4 linked regions of the Yarrowia lipolytica genome follow. The protein of the gene in region 3 purifies or fractionates together with the protein of the main gene of each other region. This does not show direct contact. Links are inferred from orthologs where the notes say so. Each region holds a gene or a part of one and is shown on either strand. Other genes may lie near its edges. The genes, in order: YALI1_F12080g, YALI1_E05390g, YALI1_A05821g and YALI1_E19483g.

What was found.
Region 1: the proteins of YALI1_A05821g (region 3) and YALI1_F12080g purify together in Saccharomyces cerevisiae (affinity purification with mass spectrometry; 3 studies listed by BioGRID). This does not show direct contact. The link is inferred for Yarrowia lipolytica from reciprocal best matches to the Saccharomyces cerevisiae genes CSL4 and UTP4.
Region 2: the proteins of YALI1_A05821g (region 3) and YALI1_E05390g purify together in Saccharomyces cerevisiae (affinity purification with mass spectrometry; 13 studies listed by BioGRID, with this or other methods). This does not show direct contact. The link is inferred for Yarrowia lipolytica from reciprocal best matches to the Saccharomyces cerevisiae genes CSL4 and RRP6.
Region 4: the proteins of YALI1_A05821g (region 3) and YALI1_E19483g purify together in Saccharomyces cerevisiae (affinity purification with mass spectrometry; 3 studies listed by BioGRID). This does not show direct contact. The link is inferred for Yarrowia lipolytica from reciprocal best matches to the Saccharomyces cerevisiae genes CSL4 and UTP5.

What each region holds. Positions count from the first base shown.
Region 1 is NC_090775.1:1,204,204-1,211,603, forward strand, and holds YALI1_F12080g (uncharacterized protein), read right to left. Parts: upstream 3,806-7,400; coding exon 1,742-3,805; downstream 1-1,741. Other genes in the region: YALI1_F12033g (uncharacterized protein), read left to right, coding at 1-982; YALI1_F12052g (uncharacterized protein), read right to left, coding at 1,022-1,062, 1,116-1,171, 1,553-1,692; YALI1_F12089g (uncharacterized protein), read left to right, coding at 4,763-7,400. UniProt on the Saccharomyces cerevisiae protein: Involved in nucleolar processing of pre-18S ribosomal RNA. Required for optimal pre-ribosomal RNA transcription by RNA polymerase I together with a subset of U3 proteins required for transcription (t-UTPs).
Region 2 is NC_090774.1:535,510-543,516, reverse strand, and holds YALI1_E05390g (uncharacterized protein), read left to right. Parts: upstream 1-4,489; coding exon 4,490-6,766; downstream 6,767-8,007. Other genes in the region: YALI1_E05416g (uncharacterized protein), read right to left, coding at 842-1,825; YALI1_E05403g (uncharacterized protein), read left to right, coding at 3,202-4,161; YALI1_E05353g (uncharacterized protein), read right to left, coding at 7,591-8,007. UniProt on the Saccharomyces cerevisiae protein: Nuclear-specific catalytic component of the RNA exosome complex which has 3'->5' exoribonuclease activity and participates in a multitude of cellular RNA processing and degradation events.
Region 3 is NC_090770.1:578,200-584,769, forward strand, and holds YALI1_A05821g (uncharacterized protein), read left to right. Parts: upstream 1-3,978; coding exon 3,979-4,836; downstream 4,837-6,570. Other genes in the region: YALI1_A05795g (uncharacterized protein), read right to left, coding at 19-1,362; YALI1_A05798g (uncharacterized protein), read right to left, coding at 1,414-1,603, 1,649-1,680; YALI1_A05813g (uncharacterized protein), read left to right, coding at 3,115-3,483; YALI1_A05836g (uncharacterized protein), read right to left, coding at 5,186-5,444, 5,683-5,912; YALI1_A05844g (uncharacterized protein), read right to left, coding at 5,956-6,240, 6,402-6,485.
Region 4 is NC_090774.1:1,943,454-1,951,094, forward strand, and holds YALI1_E19483g (uncharacterized protein), read right to left. Parts: upstream 4,885-7,641; coding exon 2,659-4,884; downstream 1-2,658. Other genes in the region: YALI1_E19458g (uncharacterized protein), read right to left, coding at 551-2,350; YALI1_E19488g (uncharacterized protein), read left to right, coding at 5,357-5,974; YALI1_E19494g (uncharacterized protein), read left to right, coding at 5,971-6,019, 6,106-6,476; YALI1_E19508g (uncharacterized protein), read left to right, coding at 7,377-7,641. UniProt on the Saccharomyces cerevisiae protein: Involved in nucleolar processing of pre-18S ribosomal RNA. Required for optimal pre-ribosomal RNA transcription by RNA polymerase I together with a subset of U3 proteins required for transcription (t-UTPs).

The sequences.
Region 1 (7,400 bases), on a different chromosome or scaffold from region 3:
TCTGGTGATTGCGCGAAACGAGGAGCTGGCCAAGCTGGCCGAGGAGCGATGTGGCAAGACGGCGGCCGAGGTCTACAGACAGTGTCTCAGCAAGTACGTTGGCCGTCTGCATTCTTGCACTCAAGACACTTCTCCAGGCGCTGAATTCAACATCACGTCGATGGAGATTGCCAAGACAATCGATCCTCGCCTGGACGGTCTTAGACCGCGAGGAAAGGGATCACGATCCGTTTCTCCCCGGCCGCAGAGCAAACGAGTCAAGACTGAAGAGGGATATACAAAGACTGGAGACTATGACGAGAAGGAGGTGGACGTTGAAGAAGATATGGAAGAGGAGTTGTCGGGCGTTGCTTTAGCAACAGCAGTATCCAAACAAATGCAGATTTTGGCAGCCTCACCGCTCAAGTTTGTGCAGAGCGTGGGCACCAAGGGCGGAGGAGAGTGGTACGTCAACTTCAAAGAGGCTACCGAGTGCCTGCGGGGCGCGCGATACGAGCAGATCATTCAGTGGAAGTACGGCCGCGTGGCCAAGCGGTTGCTGCGAGCTGTCAAGGACAAGGGCAAGGTGGACGAAAAGCTGCTGACCAATATTGCGCTGTTGCCCGTTAAGGAGATTCTCAACCACCTGCACGACTTGCATTCTGTCGGCGCTCTGGACGTGCAAGAGCTGCCTCGAACCGCCGACAGAGCTGCGTCTCGAACCATTTTTCTGTGGCATCATAGAGCCAACCGGGCATACTCGCTCATTTCACAGGACATTTACAAGTCTTTGTCGCGCTGTTTCGAGCGGGTGGCTGCCGAGCGTGCCAAGCTGCCCATTCTGCTGAGCAAGCTGCAGCGAGAGGATGTCAAGGGACACGAAGATGAATTTCTGACCGAGCAGGAAAAGGCGGATCTCAAGGGACTGAGAATGAGAGAGGAGAAGCTGCTGGTGCAGATGAACAGGTTGGATGGTTTGATTCGGGTATTTAGAGATTACTAGACGACGAGCGAAGCCAGTCGTCTGAGCAGCTCAAAAGACTCACTTGATCGGAGTGAACGCCTGACCGGAGTGTCTGAACGCTTGGTCGGAATGGTTGGATAGGACTCACTTGATCGGAGTGGTTGGAGGAGACTCGCTTGAATGAGGCTCTCACCAGTGATAGGAAGAGACTCACTTTGAGCAAAGCGACTGAATGAGAATACTCACCCATGTAAAGAAATACTAATTGCATAGAGAAGGAAAGAGCTACTTGTGGGTGAACCGAAATGTCATCAATGGCGAGTATGGGCTGAGCACTACAAGTACTTGTAGAACGAGTAGATGTTTACCTAACACTCGCCCAACTACTGTGTCAAGCAGTAATCCGAGCACCCTAATGAACTCCGAGGATCTGATATTCTCTCTAACTGGCTCCTACTCATACAGTACGTACCTAGTCTCTTGTAAATAGTACATACTGTGCCACAAGTCGGTCTTTAAGGCAGATCTGGTCTCGAATTGCCCCCTCACCGACCTCCGACCTCATCAGTTCCATCTAACAGTTCATTAATATCTATTTAATCCATGCACCATGCCAACCAGTCGATCCACTTCGGGGACCCAAGTATCGCGCTAGACTGGATTGTACAGGTCTCGTACCCTATGTACCGGATACGTGACCTCATGCTAAAACACGTGACCTCACTCGGGCGTAACACGTGACCTCTCATGCCAAATACAACACACCTGTGACCCAAGTCTCCTGCTCGTCTCGTCCATCTAATCAACCCGCTTCTTCTTCTTGGACCAGAAGGCTGCGGGCAGAGGAATGTCGAACGCCGGTCGCTCGACCACCACGAGCTCGTTGCCGTCCACAATCTCCGCGCCGATGATTGGTCTGTATTTGCTGGTCGACCAGAAGGCGGTGGTAGTCTGGTTTTCGGAAGTGACGGGTTTGGCCGTCTCCTCTCCATCCAGACGTCGCTTAGGGACTCGCTCGACCGGAATGTTGGTCGAGGTGTCAACAAACGCCAGCCAGGTGGCTCCCCACATCCACACTCGCTGGGAGTGCTTGGAACTGGGGTCCAGGAACATGCCTGTGCAGTGGTCGACCGAAGAAGCCACGGGGTCGGGAATCTCGGGGTTGGATCGGCTCCACTCGGTCAGCAGACCCGAGCCGAGATCGAACTCCACCACCTTGTTGTCGGCCGTGGCCACCACCAGTGTCTTGGCGCCCGTGAAGGCCATCGCGGTAGCGGGAGCAGCAGACAGACGCATGAGTGTTCGAGCGTGTTTGAAGCCTCGGTCGCCCCGCACAAAAATCTCCGTGTGACCCGATCGCCGCGACAGAGCCAGATGTGTATCTGAAAAGGCAGCAGCGACGATTTCCGTCTCGTGTCCGTGGGCAATGAGGTTGCCCTTGAGCACCGCCTCGGGAACCTGCAGCTCTTCGATAGGTGCGAGCTCCTCGTTAAGCGAAATGAGAATGACGGAATCGGAGGAAATGAGCAGCAGCTCTCCAGCGGGCGAGAAGACGGTCAAGTGGGCTCCCTCCAGATCCATCAACTTGTTGGGTTTCAGAACGGGATGGCCCTTGGAAGAAAGCACCTCCTCGAGCTCGAAAAGTTTGGTCTCCTGAAGAGAAGACACCGCCAGAAGAGAACCAAACATGGCCACGTCAGAAATGTTGTCATCGGCAGACATGGTCAGTTTGCACACCAGTCTTCTCTGGCCGCCCTCAAGGCGTCTCCACAGCTTGACAGTCTGACCGTTCCACATGGCCACAATCGAGCCATAGACGAGAGTCTGGGTTCGCGGGGGAGCCACCGAGAACTTTCGGTAGGGGCCCTGAGCAAACTCGTTAACGGAAGCAACCACAAGCACCTTTTCCACGCCTCCAGATGCAAGAAGAGACAGGTTTTTGGCCTCGTAAGTAGCCAGAGCTCGCACGTCGTGGGCATTGTAGCCCCGCACGTTGGTCTGGTTCCATCGCTTGCCCACAGACTCGTAGCAGGCGATGGTCTTGTCGACACCCGCCGAAAAGACAGCGTCTCCGGCTGCATCGACTGCCAGACAGAGAATGTCGGCTTCGTGGGTCTTGAACGACTGGTTCAGAGCAAAGTGCGTGCAGTCCCAGAACTTGACCGAGCCCGTGGAGTCGCCGGAAACGATCAGATCGCCCTTGGCTCGCTTCACAACCGCCACGGTCCACACCAGAGTAGCGTCGTCCTGTGCCACAGGTCCCTTGGCAGTGTCGACCTTCATGGTGGCAATGGTGGATCCGTCTTCGTCCCAGACCCGGATCCGCGCGTCCGAACAGCCGCCCACCACCTGCGAGCCTCTCCATGCCAAACTGAGCACTCGACAGGTGTGTCTCTGAAGGACTCGCGAATGCTCCATCACACCAGGGCCTCCAGACAGATCCACCACCACCACGGAGCCGTTTTCGCAGCCTGCAGCCAGCTTGGTTCCGTCGTCGCTCACGGCAATGCACCAGATCACACCGCTGTGGCAGTCGTAGTTGACTCTGGGCTGGCCCGTGGACACGTTCCACTCGGTGATAGCGGTCGATCCTCCGATGGAAAACAGCCGCGGCTTGCCAGAAGAGTCGCCCGAGTCAGACCACGCCAGCCCCTCGACAGACCGGCCCTTTCCTCCCCGCAAAGTCGTCTCATGGAGCCAGTTCCATCGGGGGTTCCAAATTTCGATATCTCCATTATCTCGTCCCACAGCCAGTCTCAGGTCCGGCGAGGCGTTCTGGTCCAGCTCGGAGCGTCGGCTGAACGCCAGCGCCGTGATTCCGGCCGGATTGTAGTCCACAAAACGGCATCTATGAACGTCCATTGTGTTGTGTGCTGTTTTTGTGATATGTTGCACTCTCACAATTTTTTGGCTTACCTATATGCATATGCAGATTTTTTTTTATTTAGGCTTTGTCATGTGACTAATGGGTGATAGAAGCACCTACAAGTAGCGGACTATGTAGAGCCTGTATAACAAGAAAGAGGGCTTGAAGAGATTGCTAAAGACTGAAATGCTATGACAGTGGTTTCATTTTTGGTTTTGGCCACGTTTTACGTGTTTTGGAATTATCTCGACGAATAGTGGACGTAATAGAAATCTGAAAGAACCATGATATGGAGCGGAAAAAGACCAACAAGATGCATTTTTCAGAGTTGTTTTATCTAACCAGCAACACCATATTTTGTATAGCAAAGTGTGGTCTGGCGATGTTAAGTGTAGAGTCAATGGTGTTCAGAAGATGACTTGAATGGAGATTGATACTGGGCGTAATAAGTTTGATTTTATAATAATATCGTAAATTGACCGTTGCAACAACTTGCACTCTTGGATTTGTCTATATATATTCTCTAGTCTGTCTTGTAGATGTGTTCTGTTCTGCTTAAAGTAATTCTCAACAAACATTTATACTAAGCCAAGTAACACGTAACAAACTATTATACCAAGTCAAGTAATATGTAACAAACTATTACACCAAGTCAAGTAAAAGAAAACGGGGGTTCCATGCCCCCAAACGGACGAATATCACGTGAAAAAAAAAAAAAACCAAAAAAAACCAATCGTCAAATACATCTATACCACTTTGATAACCCCAAATGTCCTCTTTTCCTCCACTTTTCCACTCTCTGAATCACATGTCCCAAGCTGGAATCGAACCCCGCACAATATACAAAGTTTTCCCCCGGGTGGTTACCGTGGCAACGGCCTTTGTTGACGCGTTCAAACATCCCTTTGTCGCATCACTATACACCTGCCAGTTACATCAAACCACCACTCAGCATGACGACGGCCAAAAAAACACATGTCGGGGTCAAAGCCAACAACCGCAACGAGGCCAAGCTGTACTCGCTACTGGGGCAGTATTTCCAGGAGGCGCAGCGGTCGCTAGTGGCGCAGAGAAAGATCATTGTGTCCATGCAACAACTACACGAGGGAGCAGTTCAGTGGAACATGGAAGAGCAGTTCACGCGCAAGTTTCTGCTGCTGGTGAACCGCATGCTCACGTGCAAGAAGGGCGACAAGTCGGCCGACAAGGTGGTCGAGTTCATCGGCTCGTATGTGGGACGTCTTCAGGAGGAAGAGGAAGACCGGGATGAAGATGAAGATGATGAGGAGGAAGAGAGCACAGTGGCGTCTCGTTTCTGCGAGGCACTCATTCGTCACGTGCTCCGAGGAACCCAGGCCAAAGATAGACATGTGCGGTTCCGATGCTGCCACATTCTGTCTACCGTCATCAACTCTCTTAGTGACATTGACGACGACCTTTTTGAAGACCTGCGAGACTCCATGTTTGCGCGGTCGTACGACAAGGACGCCAGCACACGGCTAAAGGCCGTGTTGGCTCTGTGCCGAATCCAATCTTCTGCTGAGGAAGGAGAGGAGGAGTCCGCGGAGGAGAAACAGCTACAGGAGCTGCTACTGAGCTTGATCCAGAACGATCCCTCGGCCGACGTGCGCCGGGCTATCCTGTTCAACCTCAAGGTGACCAAGAAGACCCTTCCCTATCTTCTTGAACGTGCACGTGATACCAATTCCATCACGCGACGGTCGGTGTATGGACGGACCATGAAGAGCATTGGTGATTTCCGAATGCTGCGGATCGGCATGCGAGAGAAGTTGCTCCAATGGGGTCTCAAGGACCGAGACACGAGTGTGGAACAGGCAGCCACAAAGATGCTTGTCACCCAATGGCTCGAAACCTGTGACGGTAGCGTCCTGGAGCTTCTGCAGCGTCTCGATGTGCTCAATTCGACTGTAGCTGAGACTGCCGTCGAGATTATATTTGACCAGAAGCCCCAAATGGTTTCCAACCTCTCGTTCAAAGATTCGTGGGACACCTTGACACCAGAAACGGCCTTCCTGGCGCGTGTATACGCCCAATACTGTCTCAAGAAGGGCTACGACGATCTAGTGGACGCCCAGGTGCCAGAAGTTACAAAGATTGCTTTCTTTATTGAGCGCGATCTCCAAAATCTGACCGTGGACGAAGAGGGATACTCCGAGCGGGAGTTTGTGCTTGAGCAGCTTTTGCTTCTGGCGCAGCAGCTGGATTTTGGTGATGAAATCGGACGACGAAAGATTGTGGACGTGCTCACCAATGCGCTGACTAATAAAGATCTCTCTGATACTCTTGTGTCTGCGGTTGTCAACGTGTTCCACAAACTGTGCACCCGAGAGCGAGACTTCATCCAGGTGCTGGTTGAAATCGTGGTGGATATCGAAGACATTGCACGTGAGTCTGAAGACCCAGACAGAGTGCTTTGTACCACTTTGCGGTGTCTGGCTATCACACAGACGGTGCTTGAGCAGGTGGAGACGTCTCTGGAGTCGAATGTCGAGCTGAGCGGTCTACTAGATTCTTTGGTTCTTCCCTCAGTTCGCTCTCATGTGATTACAATCCGTGAACGGGGTCTACGATGCCTGGGTCTTCTTTCTCTGTTATCTCGTGAACAAGCGTCGGACAATCTCATGGTTTTCGGACACTGTGTTCACAAGGGCGAGGCTGAGTTCAAGGTTGAAGCTCTTAAGATCATGTCTGATATTTTGGTTCTTCATGGTCGTTCAGTTCTCGATCTTCCCGATAAAGTGGACTCTGAGAGTGTGCACAAGCTGTACTACCAGGCGTTGAAGAACGCCGACATCCCCGAGTTACAGGCTGTTGCCGCCGAAGGACTGTTCAAGCTGCTTCTCTGTGGCGTCTTTTCCAACCCCGATCTTCTGGCGGGTATCCTTCTCAACTACTTTGACCCACAGAGTGCTTCCAACGGTGCTCTGAAGCAGGTTTTGTCTTTCTGCATTCCTGTGTACGCCTACTCACGTGACGAGAATCAGCAGGTGCTTGGATCGGTGGCTATTCCTGCTATCGATAGAATTCTGCGTCACCTGGAGGATATTGAAGATGATCCTCTTACCGGTGCCACAGAGATGATGCAGCAGGTTTTGGACTGGACGGATCCGCGACGTGTGGTGTCGATTACTAACCAGTCGTCCACAGAAACTACGTCACGTGTCCACTACGATCTGGCGTTCGATATCTTGTCGTATCTGAGTGAGTGCCGGGAGCGAGCCGAGCACAGGGCGTACACGTCTGCGTTGACCAAGCTGTATTTCCCCGGCTTGACGGCTGAGGAGCTGACCAAGCTGAAGGAGGCTGTTGTTCGGTGTCACGAGGCCATCGAGGGTATTGACAATGTGTCCTTGAACGCATTTAATCGGTTTGTGGCGTCAGTGGAGAACATGGAGCCTGTGGGAGTTGTGGATGGCGTTGCAGAGAAGGAGGCAGAGGAGGATGATGAGAAGGTAGCTGAAGAAGGGGAGAACGCGGAGGCTGATACCACTGTTCTAAGACATACTGTTCCCGAGGATGAGGATGCACTTGAGGCCCCCGAGTACCCTGAAGATGAGACTAGTGGAGACA
Region 2 (8,007 bases), on a different chromosome or scaffold from region 3:
CGAAGACCTTCATGTGCACGCTACCATTTCGAAAAGACATGCCAAGACGAGACACCTCGTACCACCGCTTAGAAGTGAACTGGTAAGACTTTCAAGGACTAGAGAGGTGCATGCGTCTCATGAAATAACTCCTCTAAGGACCTATGCAGGCTCTGATTACCCCTTGTTTTTTGTATAGTTACAATTACTCGTACTTCTGTCTGTACCGGAAGTGCTACAAGTAGTACTACAAGTAGTATGTACTCGTGCTATCGAGACGCATTGAGTTCGGCAGTTAACGGTTCCTTCTGTAAACAAAGAGGATCATGCTTCCCCCGAGTAATTCAGTGGGACCTTCATTGCGTACGCCCTCATTGTTCCAGCGGACCTCAAGAAGAAGTGGATCTCCTCCAAACGCCTATTTTGATAAACCTCAAGGGTTGGTGCTAAACTGGCAGGTTAAATTTCCTGGAACTCTACGGAATTCATTCCCGATAACCGTCGGTTCATGAGATAGCTGGACACCTAATGTTTCAACGGTTGCAAGAGGCTGAAAATTTCATTGGTTTTGATTCGATATGTATTGACAGTACTTATGCGGAACGGGCCGTCCACAATATCTCGCACGAGTTATACATGAACATGGCATACGAATGCTCAGCCTTGAACGAACACTTCGATCGTATTCTCGGTTGCCATTCAATATAGTTCATACGGCTCTAAAGGTGAAAATTACCAAGGCATAAACAAGCCACCCATGCTCGAACGCTACGAATCACATGTCTTGCTCGCACATTCTTCAGGATCTTCCCCACAAACTGAGGGGTATGATGGTATTGCTAGACACAGCTAAAAACAGCATTTAATAATCTCCTGTGGAACCACCCCATTTGAATAGACCCCATGCAGTGCTGCCTGAGATCTTTGTGTACTCCTGAACACCCTTGTCACCGTCAGCAGCTCCTGCTGAGAAGTAGAAGGGAAAGAGATGTTCAGCGGTGGGATGGGCAGCTGGTCGGTGAGGGTTCTTCCAAAGCTCTGAAAGGTTTTCCAGATTTTGCTCATCAGAAACAGGCACACTCGTGACATTCTCTACCACGTCCTTGACAGCATCTTCAAAAGGCTGGGAATACTCGGGCTCTCCACCATCAGCAAACTTACGTCGTTCTCGAAGATTGTGAACTGACATACCGGATCCAATTATCCAATATCCCTCATCTCTCAGAGGTGCGAGTGCCTTGCCGAGGTTGTAGAATCTCTCAGACAGCTGTCGAGGACTCAGATGGTCCACGTCGTCACCTGCAGGTTCTGAAATATTGATGATGGGGAACTTGAGGGCACCTTTTTCCTCACCAGCTTCTTCAAACATAACTCTGGAAGCGACCCACACGCCATGATCCCACTTCTTGTCACTTCTCAATTGGGCATAGTAGCCAGGGGTGTTATCAATAAGTTTGGCGATCTTCTCAGCAGAGGCATGGTTGCCCTTAGCCCAGAACTTCTCCTCATACATGTGGGCTGGGAAATTGAAGAAATCGTATTCGAGGTTGGGGTAGTTGTCGTTTTTGTCAGTCACAATTCCCACGGGAATACCCTTACCATTGACCTTGGGAAACTCGTTGTTACCGGTACCCTTGGGGTTCTCGTCCTGCTGGTTCGCACTTTCCCAGTGGGCCGACATAACAATAACGCCCTTGACAGAGTCGGGATTCTCCTTGTGTTTCTGGATCAGATCTCGTCCAAGATGTCTGAGATAGTCAAAGGCTCCTTTATCTCCTCCAGGGTGATTCTCGTACATGAAGGTGGGGCCTCCATGAGGAATGAAGTAGACAGGTGTGCGGGCCATTTTTCTTGGTATTGTAGAGTCGGATAAGAAGTTGTAACCTCATTAGAGACGAGGTCCTACTAATATATAGTGTTCGTCATAGACGGCCCCAAGCCACAATGAAGCCATGGCCAACATGCCATATGCACGGCGCGAGCTAACCCCACATAAAAGTAGATCGATTACCAATACATGCTCCTGTTGTCGCTATTACTTTTAGAGGGGAATGAAGTTTCGTGTTAATGATCCTAACCAAGAGATAGTGCGGAACCCAGTTACGCTGAGTGGAGGAGTTAACCGATGGAGCATTATTCACGCAAAATTGACCGTGACGTAATTAAAGTGCACGACTTCGAATGAAGTCGTGCACTTGGTCAGATTGATAAAATGCTCAGGCATGAACAACAATGCGATGTTGCTATCAATGTTAACAATCAGATAACCGGGTGCACCAAAGACAACGAATGAACATAGTACTTGTGCGTTCGTACACGCGTCGTCATGCATATGGGCTTCTGGAAAAGGGCTTGACTCAAATTTAGTAAGCTGTGACAAAGGAGGCAGCCTCCTTTCAGGTATTGTAATCACGAATGACTGCTGAGTCGTAAGACACCGGTGATATTAGGCAATGGGCCGCTAATGTTTAAGAACAATATATCCAGGGTGTGATACACGGTTACGATAGCCAAGCCCGTACTATCTCTACAGTGGTTACTCCATTTATGGTGTCGTCTGTAGTTCACTGTATAATCGCCTCCTGCCCATACAAATGCAGTATCGATATGAAGGAGTCCAAATAGGGCACTTGTAATTATTCGACGTGTTTGAGCCAAAAGCCCTCAATAACAATCTGCCGCAATTAGCCGGGGTCTGTCACACTTGGTGTCTTCGCCACCTTCGCGATACCACCCTCGTCACCTTTTTTGACTTATATTATAAGCTCTCAGATATTGCTCGTGGCGATCATGCACAAATCTGAAGTACAGTACATACACTTATACATGTGGCTTCAAGTGATGATGCCGTTGATGATTACGCTCCTTGATTTTATGTAACGTCCACCGTTTGAGATATATTGAAAACATATTCGCTGGTAACCTCTTTCTACCTGTAGTGTTGCTCTGTGCACGATAGCTGTGTCCTGTTGGATGAAATAGTTTCAGTATCAAACTCCGTGTTTCTTTACTGTAGTTGTAGGGTTAGGACCCCTTAGTCATGCATGCCATTTCCATCACATATCGTGCAGAACAGGAGGATTTGACTTGATTTACGCCATCTTCACTCATTACGCCGAGAGGAAGAGCGAAAAGCCTTACAACAAGTAACGGGCGGTTAACACAACGTGGCAAACACTCAACATAAAAGCATTTGATTAGGAAGTTGACGTGACACAGAAAATGGCAAACGACAAAGACCAAGATGGGTTCTTTCCCAAGTATCAGCAGCCCTCATTTGTCCTGCGCATGTGGGGCAAACTGGTACCCGCGGCCGATAACAAATATGCACTTACCATTGTATGTGCTGCTCAGATGGGTGTGGGCGTCTTGCTGCTAGCCTATCCGCGGAGATCAACTTTCAGGGCCAAATACGGAAAGTGGCCATACAGAGCAGTCAAGGCTACAGGCATCCTCACTGGATCAGCACTCATCGGCTGCACCGCAATATTTGATTTGGCACGCACGAGAAACCTCACATACGACCCCTGGGCCCAGCGAGCTCGTGCAGACCGAGTCAAGGCTCTGAAGGAAGGCAAAAAGGTTACATGGTGGTGGGGAGCTCACGATCACAAGCCTGTGGGTATGAACGAATACATGTCCGAGCTACGGGTTCTCTTGGAGATTAAGAAGATGCAATACAACAAGAAGAAGCTGGCGGATGTCGCTGAGAGTGGTTTCAAGCCCACAGAGCCTCTCCTCTCGTCTGATCTCTACATGGACGATATTTTGTGGAAGTACGTGCTGCCTCGAGTTTTCCCCGATGAGGTTCCCATATCCCCCATCTCTCGAAAACTTACAGAGGCCATGTTCCAGTCTCTGGGTCTCACATATGAGGAGCTGGTGGCTGCAAACCGAAAGTTCCGAGAAGGAGTGCTGGAGCAGGTAGAGAATCCTCTGTTTCTTGCACACCGGCCATGGCTGTTTGGAAGCTCTAGCAGCATGGATGCAGCCATCAAGGAGGTTCTTGGAGAGGGGTCCAACGACCCAGATATCCTGGAAGGTCTCTACAATGACATTGCAGAACAATGGGATGGATCCATCATGTGGGGCATCATTGCAGGAGAGACAGATGTGACCATTCGTCTGATTCCTGGAACCGATATCGTGGAGCTGGTGGAGGAGGCTGAAGATGAAGAATAGATAACTGGGTCGTTTGTATGAGCACCCATTGTACATAAAAGATTCGGTATAGACAATCTAGCTAGACGACCTACAAGTAATACAAGTATGCACGTCGTAGAACAGCACAAGCAGTATAGTAGAGAGAGATTTCGGTGGTTGCACCAAAGAGACTGACAAAAAATAAAAAAAATCCGCTCGTCGAATAGAGTAGGACGGATAAGAGAATACCTGTCTATCACTTCACCATATCCGCTGGACCCTCCAACTTCAAGTATAGTATGTACCGTATTACTACCCGATTTGTGTTAGCTAGCCCTAAACCTAATCGTAAATTATTTCTCTGTATATGCATCAATTTTCCAACAGCCTATTCCCAGTCCATTCCCATCACCACAACACATACAAGATGGAAATCGATAGTGTTGTGCGACTGGCCCAACAGACTGCCAAGGCTGCCCGTGGTCTTGCTTCGCACGACATCAAGTTCTACAGCTCTATTGATGACAAGGTGGCCGACAGCGTGAAGGAGAATGCATCACAGCTCATTGGAGTGGTCAACCAGCTGGCCCAGAAGATTGCCCCGAACGAAGTGGGATCTTTTCCTCCCGAGCTCGACACTGTGAACCGACACTGGAATGAGTTCTCGTCTGTTGTCGATGACCTGTACGAGAAAACCGACATTCAGCTCGGAAAGCTGAACAAAAAGGGAGACAAGGTTGAGATTGCCGAGTCCAAGAAGACTGGCCCTCAGACGCTCGGAGAGAAGATCCGAGTAGGAAATGCCATTCAGTCATCTAGCGAGATCAAGGGGCCGCAATGGAAGCCCCAGGAGATGTGGGAGGTCGACAATTCGAGAGACACTCCCTTCAAACCCAAACTCACCTCGAAACCAAATGCTCTGGAGCCCCTAGAGGACGCGTTCGAATTGGTGACTGAAGATGACAGACGAGATCACTACCCACAGCCCTACGCCAAGGAGATAATGGAGCAGCCCTACCCAGATGAGGTGTACGAGGAGACAGAGGTCATTCCTAACCGACCATGGGAGGCTGAAGGAGAGGATGAATACATCTACGTTGACACAGAGGAGAAACTCAGAGACATGGTTGACCACCTGAAGACCCAGGAGGAGATAGCCATCGATGTCGAACATCATTCCATGCGAACATACTACGGCATCACATGTCTTGTGCAGGTTTCCTCTCGGGAGCAAGATTACATCATCGACACCATCGCTCTCCGAAACCTCGAGATCTTCAATGAGGTTTTGACTGACCCCAAGATTGTCAAGGTTTTGCATGGAGCCACTATGGATATTCAGTGGCTCCAAAGAGATTTCGGTCTGTACATTGTGTCTCTGTTCGACACCTTCCATGCCGCCCAGGCCCTTGGCCTCAAGGGACACAGTTTAGCGTTCCTTCTCCAGCATTACGCCAACTTCGTCACTTCTAAGAAGTACCAACTCAGTGACTGGCGAATTCGACCTATGTCGCCTGAGCAGCTTCTCTACGCCCGAGCAGATACCCACTTCCTGCTCAACATCTACGATCAGCTGAAGAATGCGCTCGTGCAGAAGGACAAGATCGAGGGAGTTTTGGAAAAGAGCAGACAGACTGCTTCCCAGAGGTATGAGTACACCGGCTACGACCCAAGGTACTATCTCAAGTCGTTCGACTACGAGGGAGGTATCAATCGTCTCATTTCTCAGTTCCACATCACTGGGCCTAGTGTCTCAGTCGCCAAGGCTCTTTTCTTGTGGAGAGACAGCATGGCTCGAAAGGAGGACGAGTCTACTGGCTACGTGATGCCTAACTATCTGCTCGTTTCACTTGCCAACCGAATGCCTCAAACGCCCGAGGCTGTGTTCAGTGTATCCAAGTCTCTCCCGCTTCTTGTTCGAAAAAACGTTGAGGAGATTCTGGACGTCATCAAGGATTCCAAGGACGAGCATGTTGAGGTAGAGCAGGTTGAGGAGGAGCCCGTCCTCGCTGCCGAGTCTATTGAGGGGGCAGAGTTTTCTGAAATCGCAGAGGTCATCTTCCTGGCAGCCCAGGACGGACAGTCAGATATCACAGGCAAATTCGACTCTTCCAAGTCGTCTATTGTACATGTAAAGGAGACTGCTCTAGGTCCTCTTGGTGTTTCCAAGATTGATAAGCATATGATGGTTTTGGCGGTTCCCGTCGCACCCCTATCTGTTGACTCTACTGAATCTGATAGCGAAGTCCAGAACGCTGAGGAGGAGGTCAAGGTTGAGCAGGATGCCGCTGCTGACGACGAGTCTGATTACTCTGAAGATGAGCACGAGCATGCCAATGATATCATTATTGCCAAGTCTAACAAGAAGTACACAGCTGACAAGGAGGCTAAGAAGGGAGTAGCAAAGGAGAAGTCCGAGGAGTTCACTCCGTTTGACTACTCTGCTGGTGCTTCTATTCTCAAGTCCGACGATCAGAAGGCCGCCGAGAAGAAGGCTGCCATGACTGCCCGAAAACAGAAGGCCAAGGAGAAGAAACAGTTTAACCCCTACGAAATAAAGGAGGATGCCAAGGGTGCTTCTAAGCGACGAGGACCCAAGGATGGAGGTGCTCGATCAGTCCAGTACAAGAAACGGCGTACATAGGCAACAAACAACTTAAAGTACTCATGGAGTATTAAAATATATAGATTGTAATATACGGTGGATTTGATGTCATGTTTTTAAAGTGGGTGAGAGAAATATCAATGTTCGTAGCCCTTGTGCTTGTCCCAAGTTGGCCAGGGGTGTAATAAACAGAATAAACAGCCCCTACAAGTAGTCATTATGAGATGGCCTGTAAAATAATTCAAAACCCCACTTACAGTACATACGGTAATTACAGTGGGTGCTTGTTAAAGGAAACAACTGTTGTAGGGGGTCGCGAGAGCTCCATGTCTGCCGGGACTACCATGGCGACATGTTTGACTTTCAGATGGTTTCATTGTTACATTTCTAAAATGCAACGGCTTGCAACTTTACTTGCCATTGGTTTTTCTACTGTTTCAGATTCTTCTGGTGATTCCTCTACAAAACCATTCTCGTCGTAGATAAACCTCTAGTATCGCTATTCCAGCGGTTGTTGAGTTGTCCAGACAAAACTGTGGCCAATCAAAGGGTCCATTACTAACCGTGCTGCACCTTAACTCACTTTCGCTTGGTCGTTTTGCCACTGTGGCAAAGTAACTCCACACAGAGAATTTAGGTCCATGAGAACAAGGCCAAAGATATCAAAAAGACACAAAGAAATCCACACCAAGCAAACGTGGTTATGGGTTGAGCGATTTGCCAAAATACAAGCTACAATATGTCCTTTTGAATGTCTTCGCCTCCAGTAGATAATGCAGGTCCTGCATATTCAAAAGTCTATCCTTCTCGTCTAAGGCGGAACATTGCTTCCCTAACCCCATCCAACAAACCCATGTGACAGGTCACTCAACACTATTCTCACACCTTCTAGACAACTGAAAAACAACACATTGACAATGACTCGATTCTGCGACACCGTCAAGACACTCATCAAGGAGCCTTCCTTCTACCAGTTCACCGGCACCGTTGCTGGCTACACTCTGTTTGCTGCTGCCTTCCCCGTTGTTGCTGCCATTCACACTGCTCGAGGCGTTGCACTCCTGAAAAACAAGTCTCTTGAGAGCTGCGAGTGCGAGAACAAGCTGGCCAAGAAGTTCGACATCTCCAACATCACCCTCAATGAGTGGTACTCTCCTATCACCCTGCTGTTTCCCCTGTTCAAGCGAGTTGTTGAGCCCCTCGGACCCCTGGCTGTCATGTGGGCCCGATACACCGGTCTTGTCGGTGAGATGACCGACAAGGAGGTCAACTGCGTCTTC
Region 3 (6,570 bases):
GCTCTAGACTGGTTCCCACTACGCCTCTCTCACCTCCTCAACAACCTGGCTCTTCTCCAACTCCTTTCTGGCAGCCTTTTCTCGCTCTTCGACATAAAAGTACCGAGTGTACACCAAGGAAATGTAGTTGACCACCGAGTTGAGAGCGATCCAGCCAATGAGAACTCCCACATTGAGTCCTATTTCGGAATGGACATTGAACAGAATGGTTCTAATGGCCTCCACAGCATTGAAAACCGGCAGAGCGTGGCCAAACTGGTAGACTCCAGGTGACATCTCCAGAGGGAACATTCCTGGAGCAGAGTTGAAAATGACCCAGAAAAGCAGCCAAATTGCAAGCGTAGCGGGGAACTTTTTGGCGAAGAATGCCATGATGTTGTCGGTGGCTCCTCCAAGAGCAGCCATACTCAGAAAGTTGATCATCCAGTAGACCACAAATCCGCCTCGGCCGTATCGGAGAGTAAAGTCCTGTCCAAACGCCAGAGACACGAGAGAGAAGAAGAGTGAGATGAAGAAGATGGAAATCAAGTTGATCACGGTTCGGTAGATGAAAAACTGCCATAGAATCATGTGCTCGCCCTGAATGTTGTGAATGAATCCCCACATCATCACCTGGTAGAAGGAGATGATGACGAGATAGATGAGACCCACATTGTCGATAGCAGACGCCACACCGCCGGAAAAGGGTCGAATGTCGTTGTTTTGGAACTCCAGAGGCGAGGTCAGAAGCCGCGGCGTGTTGGTGAGCAAGTCTTTGATTTTGTCGTTGGAAAAGTCGGCTGTCAGGTTTCGAATGATCTCAGGAACCTTCTGCTCCTGGAAGAGAAACTCAAGAGCATCAACCTGAGGCTGACAGTAGGTGGCATGCACACTTTCCTGTCGACCTCCAGTGTTGAAGTAATGCAGGGTTTTGAACCAGTAGTCATCCTGGTTGCCCGACTCAAGGGCAGCCCGTAACGTAGCAGTCGAGTTTTCAAACACCACAAAGGCGCCCCAGAACTTGTACTGCACCACTAGCTCCTCAATCTGCTCCAGAGATGTGTACTCGGATGACACCACTGGCTTGATAGTCACCAGATGGGGCAGATTAGGTCGCTCGTTGACCAGATCAACGAAGGCGTTTCCAACCACGTCGTTGTCCCAGTTGATGACGGCCATCTTCAGATTGTGGGCTCGATCTGACCGCTTGTACATGGATCCCCAGAACAGCGGCAGAATTCCGGTCAACGCAATGGCCAGAGTGAGCACGTTGAAGAAGGACATCTTGGCCACCATCCAGTGGCCCTTTCGAAGCTTGGGGTGGTGCACAGGCACATAAGTTTTCGGTGGAAGGAGTCGTTCAGACGAGGTTGTGCTAGACATGGCGGTTGAAGCGGTTGAAATGATCTTTTTTCCACCGCTTGTCCTCCACCCTCACCTATATATCGTGTAAACAAAGACCGTTAGTCTAGCCACTAGTGCGGAGGAGAAGCCGTATGTGATAAGAGTAGACTGGCAGTATAAACACATGGTTAGATGTGTTTTTTGGGGGAAATGAAGCGATAGTCGTTGGTATTGGGGATCATGGTATCTCAGAGGGCTCCTGTCCGTCTTCAGTGATCCCCTTCAGCTGTCATCTCCACCTGATGACATTCTCTTGCTGCAGAACGGCGCTAAAAACGGCGCTATTTTCGGTGACATAAATCCGTCGTAACGTCGAGGACGCCGTACGAGCGAGGCGCAGGGTTAGTAATGATTATCGGTGGCGGTTTTGGTCGCGTCTTTCGGACTGTGAAAAGATCGGCTCCATATCGAATTCCGCTGCCGACATTTTAATTCCGGATAGGAGTGGGAGAAAAATTGCCAGTAAGTATAATGATTACTGTTCATAAAAGTGAAAAAAAAAAAAGACTAGAAAAAAGACCAAAGAAAAAAGACCAGAAAAAAAAATATGAGTAATTACAATGAGAATAAACAGAACTGGAGAGACAGGAAATTCACGGAAAAAAAACATCTATTTTATTCTATTTTATTGTCAGAAACTGCTGTCAGAAAAACTTCCACTCTAATACTGCGCAAGTACGTTCCTGAAGGGAATTTCACTGCACCCACCATTATAATTCCGGATACAGCTGGTGATAATTTTAGAGAAATAGCTTCTGCAATCACCGTACGAGGTGGAACAAAGAGAAGCAATAGGTGACGAATTACTACATGGGAAGATATAAATAACTCCTAAAAGTCGAAGATCGATCATAACTGTTCGGTGGAAAGCACCTTTTCGACGCTTCCGGTTAGTATGAGTTGTTTACTTGCTTTCTAGTTAGTTGGTGTTTAGTTGACCTTTCCAACCAATCTCCCAGTCATTACTCAAACCTCCAACTATCAGCCTTCTACATTATTTGACCAAACAACCTCCCAAAACAAACTCCACGTTCATGTACCTTACGCGTCAGGGATGCGCTTCTCCAACTACACTTGACATCTACATCGACGACATTAATTCGTCATAGCTCCTTCTCAATGCCACCAAAAAAACAACAACAGGTCGTTCCCGACATGGGCGACACCGGTACTCTCAAGCAGCGCAAAGACCGCACCAACAGACTCTAGACGGCGTTCAGACAGGAAGAAGCAGACACAGCAGCTCATTTCCAGCAGTTCAACGAGAAGTTCAAGCGGGAAATTGCCCCTCATCCCCCCGCTCCCCGTTCCCGCATTTAAGCAATAGTGTGCAACTGCTGTGAATCTTCTGGTGCAGAAGCACGCTACACTGATGCCCCGATGACAACCCAAAAGACAGCAGTTTCAACAACCGTGGAACCAGCTGCTGGATAAAGCTGCCGCCACAGCAATTACGGTCTATGTCTTTCCGCGGGACAAGCCCTTTCATTTCAAGAACGCGCTTCAATACAGGTTCGATCGCAGAGAGTTGAAGAATCGCGCCAATATTCTTTATTTCGGCTCAAAAGGTGAGAAGTACCAGTTCTTCGACCTCCAACACAAAGTGATACGCGATCATTTCACCACCACGGCTCAGCCTGTTGCTGTCTCTGATGGCCTCACCTGGTGGTGTTCCCTTTTGTGGATCTGCAACAGCCAGGGATCTTCTTCTCCAGAAGAGACAAGACTGTTATGGTCGCAAATGTGAGTGGTTACGGAGACCTGAACAACCATTTCCGTCAGTGTGAAAAGCCAGGTCTAGGCCGCTTCCTGTTGAGGAACTTCATGGAGGGAGTGTTAGTGATTGATCTTGCCAGCACCACTGCTACCAATGTGTTTACTCCTAAAAAGGATCAGAGGAATCCTGACATCGTTATGGGGTTTGTCGACGACAAGTTTGTGGCCAAGTTCGTTGACAGCAAAACCATGAAGAGATACGAGCAGGAGAAGCTATGGAAGACCAAGACCATAGAAAGTGAGGGGAATAGGTGCCGCGATTATTATGATAGCATGAGGGTGCATGTTTTCTACTCGCAGAAAATATCCTGTCAGCTGGTATGAAAGGCAGGTGGATTGGAGATGGAGGTAATGCAGTTCTTGGTAGTAAAATGCTCTCAACAACCATCTCAATTGCACCAAGGAAGATACGGAAACAAAATCCATATCACAGGTATTACACCCAGGTATTATCACTACTATCCAAATCAATGGCCTAACTATTCCACTTCCCAACTATCTAACTAAACTCAACTATTTATTTACCAAACTAACATAAGCATCAGAAAAAAAACACGCATCAAGTACGCTCATAAGCAGCCAAATGTGACAAAAAATCCATATAAAATATCTCTAAAACACCCGCCTAGACAAATTCCACCATTTGTAATCCCATATCTCCACTATATCTCTCCATATCGCGACCCCTCCCGTTCCACCCGCCTCCAATGACTTCCGGGTAACCCAACCTTAAAAAATTACTACCATGCATAATCATCACAGCATGGCTGAATCGAACATAAACCCCATACAAAAGGACATTTTACAGCACACAAAAACATGATCCCCGGATTCGTTACACCTGGAATTTTAATATCTCTCGTTGTCGACCGAGACGGCAACAAGTTTTACCCCGGAATCGGCACGGCTGTTCGAGTTGTGGAAGGTTCCGAGGCCAAGGTTGCTGGCAAGTCGCAGGCCAAGGCCATTGTCGCCACAGCTACGGGAAAGGTGGTGCTGAGCGAACGACAGGAGAGCGCGGAGCACAACGACAAGTCACGTGATACCAAGGGCTCATGCTACACGGTCAACATTGTGAAGAAGACCAAGGGTGACGATTCATCTTCAACTACACCTACTACATCCCATGTGTCGCCCTCGGCTTCGTCGGGACTGCCCAAGGTTGGCGATTACATTCTTGCACGAGTTTCAAAGCTCACGTCGAAACAGGCCAACGTGGAGATTCTGGTGGTGGAGGGCCAGGGAGGAGTGGGCCAGGACGCGGGTTTGGGACTCAATGGCAACGAGAACGGTATCCACAGCAACCCTCTGTCAAATGCGGGCTCTTTGGTGGAAGGCGCTATTCGATCAGATCTCGGTGAGGGCTTCGGTGGTATCATTCGGTCCATTGATGTGCGAGCCACCGAGCGAGACAAGGTCAAAATGGAGCTGTGTTTCAAGCCCGGTGATATCGTGCGAGCACAGGTCATTTCTCTCGGAGATGGTGCCAACTACTACCTTTCTACAGCCAAGAACGAGCTCGGAGTTCTGTTCGCTCGATCGAAAATCGGAGAGTTGATGTACGCTACCGACTGGCAGACCATGGCCTGTCCTGTGACTGGCCTGACGGAAGAGAGAAAGTGCGCTTCTCCTTATAAGCAGGAGGTCAAGGCTGAGGTCAAAGAGGAGGCCAAGTAGGTATATAGGTATTGCATGTGGTGTATCGTATGGTACACCTTTTTTGATGGAACTGGAGATACTAATCTGTCAGATACAGTATATACTGTACCATTCAATTTAATATATAGAAGGTTCGTTTCTCATGGTTAAGAATGATACCACTAGCCATGCTTGGGGTTTGTCTTTAGGATCCGTGTAACCAGACCCTCTCCGATACGCCTCATGGTACAACTTGAAGTACTGTACTGTACAGTACTCCTTTTTGTCATATCTGTTGCCAGGACGCCTCTTATGCCATCAAACTTGCCCTTCTTGTAGTAGATGGACGGCTTCTTTCCATGATGTCTGATTTTGAGCTCGTGCTTGATCAGTTCCATATCGGAGTCTTCATTGTTGTCTGCGTCAGTGGAGGAAACGTCGCAGTCGGAGGAATATCGCCTACAAATAGAACCACAATCCAGTTCTGCAAGTCCTGCTCCTTGTTCTTCTGGTAGACCAACTCAACGTCGCAGTCAATGTTTGTAAACTTGTGGGGATCATCAACAAAACAACTCTGAGAAGCATAGGTTCGTCGAGGATACAGGGAGTAGACCCTCTTTCCTTGCAAGTCGAACTCAACAAAGGGACTAGTGATCCGGTTATATTGAGAGGCGCAGAAAGCATGGAATAATATCGCCTAATCAGATTGTTAGACCCAACCTCCTGCACCCTCGTGAGGTGTGTTAGTCGAGAGCTGATATATGTCGAAAACGAGTAGACCCCACGTCATCCCCCTCTTGTTGCCAATATAAAGTAGGGAAAGACCAGTTGACGGTCGGCCTGTGGTTCTTGCACAGATGCTTCACCCGTCAGCAGATCACCAACGACAACTCCATGAGCTCCTCGAAGGTGACATCTCCGTCCATTGAAGGGTGACAAATCGGTCCATTCCCTGATTCTGGTCGCCCTGGATAATTCCAAGAATCTTGTAGACATGGGAAGACGACAAAGGTGCCAAGCTGGGGGAAAAGGGCGCTGATAGCAGTCAGAGCTCGTGTGTCGGTTTTCTGTGGAGGCGTATCGTGTCCAATCTTCTCTCGGATGGTAGGACGCATTAGGGGCTTCTTTTGTTACAGTACCCCATGTCTACCCACAGCCTCAGGAAACGGCCTTCGTGAAGATGGTAGAGATAACCATTGTAGGTGGCGCAATATTCTTGGTGAAATTTGTCTCCTCCATCATATCCACCAGCATCCGCACATGGAGCTGCACAAAAATAATGTGGCGCAAGTCCTCGGTAGGCTCAATGTATCCTAAGTAAGGGGAAACATTGTGTGCTGCAAGGAACCGTTTGATCTGGAAACCTGCACTTCCGGGAAGATGGTTTGGGTAGACCATGTCGTCCAATGGGATGGTAGTCGGTCTTCTCGATGTCTGCATGCTCTTCAGGTCCAGGAGCGTGTCGTTGTGGATCAGTTTGTTCCGTAGAGTCCAATTGAGTCAGGGTGTCGATAAATTTCGTCCGGAAACACGGGTTTCATGTTCTCTCGTAGGTCGCTGTCTTCACTCTCATCGGTTGCATCGACGCGGCGATAGCAACTCACATTGCCCAGACAAGACAGTTCCAGAGATTTGACGAGTAAGAAGCCATCCCGTTCCCCAATATCGGGCTGTTTGATGAGACTTTTCTGTGTTTGCGCGACCAGCACGAGTGCACACTAGTTCCAGGACGTGAGACCTGCGGATCCCTCGTTCAACGCGAACCAGTGTACA
Region 4 (7,641 bases), on a different chromosome or scaffold from region 3:
TGGTGGTGAAGAGATTGCACAGGAGCTTAGACAAGCTCTTCATCTGTCGGCAAAACCTATTCAATCCATAGTGATGGTGCATTCTACAGCAGAACTGTCGGTCAGACATTAAATGGTACCTGCAATTCACTCGACGCAGAATTCTGGCCCGAGCTCTTGGTCAGGTTCTCTCAAAGCCGCGCAAATGAAACCAATATGTTACAAGTTGGTCACTAGCTGTGCGCCCAGAGTTTTCTTTTTCCTATACGACTCTGAGAGAACCTGACTAAAGAGCCCAACCGTATCCACAGCGGCAGTAGCAGAGGCAAGTGGAGTTTTATTTGATCTCTGCAAGTTGCGCTCTTGAGAACCTCGAGTTGGAACCACGAGTTGGAACCGCGAGTTGGAAACCACGAGTTGAATCCGACGAGCAGCAACGCTATATCAATATCACCAGACAACGACGGGAATGAGCCATGTGAAGAAATAGTGCGCCACTCTCCAATGATCTATTAGTTCTATTAGTGTAACATGTACCGGTACATAGCGGTAGAATCCAATTGCAAATGCATCACTTGCGCTTAAGTCCACGTCTAGCTACCCAAGCCTCGGAACCAACTCCGCTGTTCACGTCGAAAGAGACGTAGGCCTGTTCTCCACCCTTTCGAGAGTCCCACAGCTCGTAGACAGGCAGGGGAATACGTCCTCGGACCAGCACAATGGCCTTATCGGCTGCAAGCTGCGCGTTGAGCAGAGATGCTGATACAGGGGTATGCAAACGGACGCTAGCTCCTGCAAATTGCACCATGGCCTGTCCAAGACACTCGCCCTGCGGAATGTCAAAGTTGGGCAGGTACTGGAGTCCGTCGGGGGTGATTTCCGCGTGCTTGACGGTCTTCTTGTCCATCGTCATGACGGCCAAAAGAGTGGAGTTGGTAGACAGTGCCACATCGGCCAGATCAACGCCCTCAGAGTCGAGAATACCAACGTAAACAGACTCCAGACCCACCTCGAGGGCCGGGAGGTCGCTCAAATGAGACGCAAGATTGCCTCCGTGCAGATACGTGACAGTCTGGAGCGAGTGTTGTTCTGCACCTGTGAAACGTGGAGGCTCTGCATCTGGAGCATCGAGAACGTGCGATCGGGCCTTGACGGATTCAGCCAGTCGCGCCTGGTCGGCGTCGACGCCGGGATCACGTGTAAACACCACGTCTGACGGCTTCACATGATCTATGAGCTGTCGCAGAAGATCGTGTCCCGCAGCACGCACCCAGCCGCAGGTATTGAACACCAGGGGCAGCTTGAGACCCTTGGCGAAGTCGATAACTGCCTTACACGCCTCAATGTACCCCCTGGTGTCATCTTTGGGGTTGTTGTAACCCACAAACCGACTGTAGGTGGGGGCTGTAACGTGTGTGAAGGAGGGTCCCAGAATGGAATAGGGACTAAGGTGACCTGCGCCAATAACAGTCACAGACACCTGACCGGGGGCAGTGAACTCGCAATTGCTAGGATCTAGATCCACAAACGCCACAGAGGTGCCGGTCTTTTTGGTGGTCATGAACGCACTCAAGTATTTACAAAAGGTGGACTTGCCGGTGTTTTGAGAGCCCACTACCATGGTGGAGGAGTGCTTGAGTCGCCGAATGTCGTCACACACTTCGGCCCATTCGTCATAGATGCCGGGAATGACCGCTGCCTGCGATTTCGTCACTACACTGGCTGTGTTGTAGATTCTGCTGTAGTTGCTGCCGTCATCCTCAGAGCAGTGCCACAATTGACGCACAAACGGCACAATGTTGCCCGAGGACATCTTCCCAAAGTTGCTGACCGTAATCAACGGGTTTTCTGACCGTCGCGGCATTGCTGCGATCTCCACAATGACCGAGGATCCCTCCAATTGATGCAATGCCTCCATGACGTCTTCGTCCCCCGATTCTCGAGTTTCGGGAGCTCCAGCAGCAGCCTCGATTTGAGGAAGAGCGTGAGACGCGGGCGCAAACACGGGAATATCGACCGGAGAGTTGATGTTCACCAGAGCTCCGTTGATATGGATAACTCCACTCCACACCGTGACTACATAGGCTCCCCGTAGAACGATGGTTTCTTTGAATTTCATGCCGTGGAAAACTCGCGATCGACCGCGAGTCTCATCTCGTACCACCTTGGTGTTCTTTGCACTGAAATCAAAAGTGCTGAGCTGTCTGACGGCCTCATCTTCTTCGGTGATGCTGATGAACGACTCCTCTGCATCCGGAGAGTCCAGAGGAGGGTTGGTGACCACAACGACTTCGGGATCCGAATCCTCCGAGCTGATGACCTGTTTTTTCGTCGGCTTCAGCGCACTCAACGCACTTTTCCGCTTCGTCATGGTGGCTTTGAAAAGATTTCAACTACCCAGTGTTTTTTCTCACATACATGCACATGCATAATAATTTTCGAATAGAGTTTGGGGGGGGGGGAAAGAGGAGCGGATTATACGAATGATATTGGGGGTGATTTTGGGGGCGATTTCGTGTGACAAACATGAAATATCATTGCATTAAACCGCTAACAATGTTGTCATATCCATTGTGTCAAAATTACAACTCCGTCGGATCATTTTTGAGCGTACTACATTGTGTTCTCTAGACCCCTACTTTTCCCAAACCAATGATACAAATCTATAATGCTAGTTATTTACTGCTTGCCTCGCTTCTTGTTGAGCACCTGCTTCATCTCCTCCTCGTCCGAGTCAGGCAGAGCAATCTCGTTCTCGTCCTCGTCCTCTTCGTCACTTTCTTCGTCCTCGTCCTCGTCCTCATCATCCTCACCTTCGTCCCCCTCACCCATCTCGACATCGTCATCATCGCCCATGGCCATGATCTCGGACATGTCGTCTTCCTCATCGTCTTCGTCAATGTCCTCTTCGCCCTCGACAAACTCGACCTCGGAGTCGGACTCCTCGTCGTCGTCGTTGGCGCCGTGGCTGGCGTTTCGCAGTTCCATCTGGGCCTCAAGCATCTCCAGACGGCCCTCCAGAGCCAGCAGACGATCCAGTGTGTTGACTCGGGTATTAAGAGCCTTGTGAAGTCGCGACACAGTCACCAGCAGCTTGGGCACGGTCACCAGGTATCCTCCATGTGCCACCATGACCCACTTGATCCAGGCGTTGAACTGTCGGCCTCTAGAGGGTTGGGCGGTCATCTTGGCAGCCAAACGCTCCAAAAGTAGCACGGCCAGATTACTGTTGAGTCGCTGGACGGTAGACTTGATGCCCTCCTCGTCTCGGAAAAGGAGACACGACTCGAGCAGATCGTCGTCGTCGGACTTGATGGCCTGGGTAAGAACAGTGGATAGAGATCCCATGGTCGGGGGAGCAGTTCCGGAAAGTCCGCTCTTGGTGGTCTTGTTTTCTCGCTTGAGAGCGTCCATCTTTTCGGCCAGAGTGGCAGACTCGTCGTCATCGGACTCGTCGCTTCCTACACCGTTCTCCAGCTGTGAATAGTCGTCTCCAGCAGCAATGATAGCGTCCTCCTCGTTGTAGGACACGGGCACAGTTCGCTCCTCGGTGTAGTGGTTTGCGGCGTTTTTGGGGTCGTGCACCACCGTCATGGTGGGCTCGGTCTCCAGAGCAGCCAGAGTCACGTGTGCAAACTGGGCCTGGGCCCGCTCGGTGTACGAGTAGTAGGCCTCCTTGGCGGTGAGCGCGATGGCGTCGATGACGAGGTTCTGGCCGGCAGCCTTAGTGCCCCGCTCCAGGTCCAGCGATGCAAACGAGGACTTGGTGACAATGCTCTTGCGCTTTCCCTTCTTGCTGTTGGGGGTGGATCCGTTAGTCTGGGCGAGCTGGAAGAACTCGGCGGCTCCTCCCTCTGTCAGGGCGGTGAGAATGTCGCCGTTCATGGAGACACGGTGGGCACCCGACTCGGCCATGAGCACCAGCACAATTTTCTTCTGAGCCACGTTAACCACGTTGATGAGACGGTCGCCAGCAACGGCAGCAACAAGGTCACCTCGAACACACAGCTCGGTGACAGTAGAGGTGTGCGAGGGGATATCAAACAGAGCCGAGTCAAACGAGACGGCCGACGAGTCATCGCCCTGGGGGCCGTAGACGGCGATGTTGTGGGTGGCCAGCAGCACGTTACCCGAGGGCAGAACGGCCACCAGCTTGGCGCCGGTCTTGTCCACAGATCGTTCCACAGAAGAGCCCTTCCACACGTTCAAAAGACCTCGGTTGTCAAGCGAGTAGGTGGTGCCGGAGTTGGCGTCGACGTCAAAGTCGGCCACAGGCAGAGAATGGCCGCCTCGGAGAGCAGACACAAGCTTGGCCTGGGCGGGAGAAAAAGTGAGAATGTCGCCCCGGTTGGTTCCCACAGAAACTAGATATTCCTCGGAAGAAGCAGCCGCCGAGTCCTGGGTCTTGGTCTTCTTGCGTCGAGAAGACGACGAGGCGCCCTCGCCAACGTTCTTGGTCCACTTGAGAGCAGTCACAGTGGTGCCCTTCTCCAACACAAACTCCACGGGCTGGAGACTGGCATTGGCGCCTGAGACCGCCTGGACACGGATCTTGTGCTGGTTAAGCGCACTTGTGACGCTGGCGTACTGCGTGAGAGCGGGATCGAATCGAGACAGCTGTTCCGACATGATGTGTGTGAGTTGTGGTGGAATTATCTGGCTTGCCTGATGGTTGTCCAAGTGCAGGAAAAAATAATTTAAACTCTGAATTTTTTTTCTGCATGAAAATTGACCGAGACTTGTATTGTAACAAGTACATCTGGTGTGGTAGAAGAACAGAGCAGAGAGCGTTGGAGTTGCGGGGAAGCGTGGAAACGGGGAGTTTTGGGGGGTTCCGACTCTTCGGTGTCGACCCGAAACGTGCTCGACACAAAATATCTCCTCGTATTTGCCACTATATGTCATTCTCGATGATCCACCGTAAACGAGGTTACTTTAGCATCACAACGGGGAATCGAACTGGCGCGCTGTCGAACGGTAGAGGAGTTGGCAGGCGGCGTTGGTTCGATTTTGACCTGTGCCCGGAATGGGAAACATTTAGTTGTCGTGTAAATCCTCCAAGACGAGACGGTCGCAACAAACCAACTCAACCATAGTACACCATTGTACAGGAGCTGTACAGTAGCTACACGCCCATAACGATCCCACCAATACCAGATTGACTCATGCACTAGGGTTAGTCACCGACAACACATAATCTGTTTGTCTCCAAATGCTCAACGAAATACCACACTTTGGACCAAACCGGTCCGATAGTCGTGATAAACACCCCCGGTTTACTCACTAGCCGAAAAACTGGACCCCTTGCAAGTATTTGTTGGCGTTTTAACAGCTATGTAACCCCGATGGTCTAAACTGAGCTTGTTCATTGTCACCAATGTTGTGGTTCGGAGTGCAACAGAACAACCCAAAGTCGGTTCTTGTCGCCAACAGCCGGCTGTTCCCTCCTTGGTCTCCCCCCTCCCTCCCCGCCCCCACAAAATTGCTCTGCGACGTCTCATTGAGTCTGAGCTACGTCTCATTGAGTCTGTGCTACGTCTCATCGAGTGTTTGCCATCACGTGACGGGCCCAAAAAAAAAAGGTTTCTCTTTGAGTTCCCGCATTTTAAGCTCATTCTGGAACCTTAAACGGGGTAGTAGTTGGATGATGGATGAGAATGAATTGACTGACAAACTTGTACGTGTTTTGAGGGAACAGGGTTGGTTGCCCAAAGGCACCAAAATCAACAGATTAAGAGTGGGAAATACAATTCTTGGGGCGTGGCTCTGGGGGGGGTATGTAGGATCACGTGACCTGGCTGGATCGGTGGCGCCGTTCTCCCAGTGCGACTTGCACTTTCCTGTAGGGTGGCTATCACTGTTTACGACTCTTGAACTCTATCTTTGGGAGCTCGAAAAATATATAAACATGCATAAAGCATACAAGGCGCGTAAGAGCGACGAGTCCACCACGGCACAACCACACGTTTACCACAACATACACGCAGTGAAATGAGCGACAGAGAAACTTCAGGGAATGACGACCTTTCGTTGCCCAAGGGTGAGTAGAGCCGGAGGGGGGGTTGTGTTTGTGTTTGTGTTTCTGTTTGTGGGGGGTTGAAAGTTGTGGGTCGGTTATTAACCCAGCCACGGTGCAGAAGATAGTGAGCGAAATCATTCCGTCAGACCTGGCGTTTGCCAAGGACACCCGCGACGTGTTGATCGAGTGCTGCATCGAGTTCATCATGATGCTGAGCACCGAAAGCAACGAGATTGCCGAGAAGGAGAGCAAGAAGACGATTGCGCCGGAACATGTCATCAAGGCTCTGCAGGAGCTGGGATTCATAGACTACATTGAGCCCATCAAGGACCTGATTGTGGAGCACAAGGAGGCGCTCAAGTCGCGGGAGAAGAAGGTTGGAAAGCTGGAGCAGTCGGGCATGACCGAGGAGGAGCTGTTGAGAAAGCAGGAGGAAATGTTTGCTGCCGCCAGAAGCAAGCTCAACAACAACGCATAGGGTGGGGGAGGGGGACAATGAGGTGGCGACACCAAACGGTTGGATAATGGGATAATGGGATAAATGGGCTGGTTAGGACAATGTGTGCTACATACAGGATAGTCTACGTGTGGTCGATGTGACGACAGTTGCATCCACGAAACGTACTAATTGATACTGTGGTGTTGGCTCTATGTCAACATCTTTTGGCATGGTGATCTAGAGTAGCGGCCGAGCCGGTTCCGCGGGTGTATATAGATGTATCATATTTGATTTGCATAGGCACCTTTTGGATTGGATTGGATTGGATTTCACCAAGACCAGTCCTTTTTTTTTTTTTTTTTTTTTTTTTTTGAAAAAACAAAAAAGGGAAAATATTTTTTTCTTCTGCATTTATTTCCAAAAAAACTCGGCTGATGAACAAATAGTTGAGTTTACAGTTGAGATTTACTTGACAAAAACATTGTTTTTGGCCTCGATCTGAGACACGCTACAACTCGGCGAGCATCGATATTTTCACAGATTGGACCCTGTACATATAAGCACAGTACCAACAGCCCCTCTGACACCTCTCAAGCGTTTGTAGCTCTTTTCAACCAGCCATTTTAGCACATGTCTGTGTCTGCGACTTTGGTTTCTTTTCTGAAAAACTATTGCAACTTCTTGGGCAACAGCAAGCAGTGACCGCGAAAATGCACGTATAACAAAGGGTACAGGAGTCCAAATCTATTTTTTGAAAGTAAAAAATAAAATGCCAGACTCGTGTGTATCCGACGATACAGCTCTCGCGCCCTGTGCATTGTATTATATGTTTCTACAGCCAAACCAAAAGTGCCCCAGCAGCCTACATTGAATTTCCCTTGATGCGTTACCCTACCTTCAACGCTAAGGTTAACGTAACCCATCAAAATATAGGGAGGTATGGAAAAAAAAAAAGGTAGCATTACATTGCACCGAGTGTCCACGCTATCTGAGAACGACAAATACAGCAAGATGGACACAAACGCGCTGTACTCGTGCTTCGAGGCCACCACCAACGGCAACCCCAACACCATCAAGCAGGCCGAGGCCCAGCTCAAGGAGGTGGACAAGATGCCCGGCTTCATCCACAGCTGTCTGGACATTGTTCGGGAGCCCCAGGCGTCGGACAATGTGCGCAAGGCCGCCTCGGTCTATCTCAAGAACA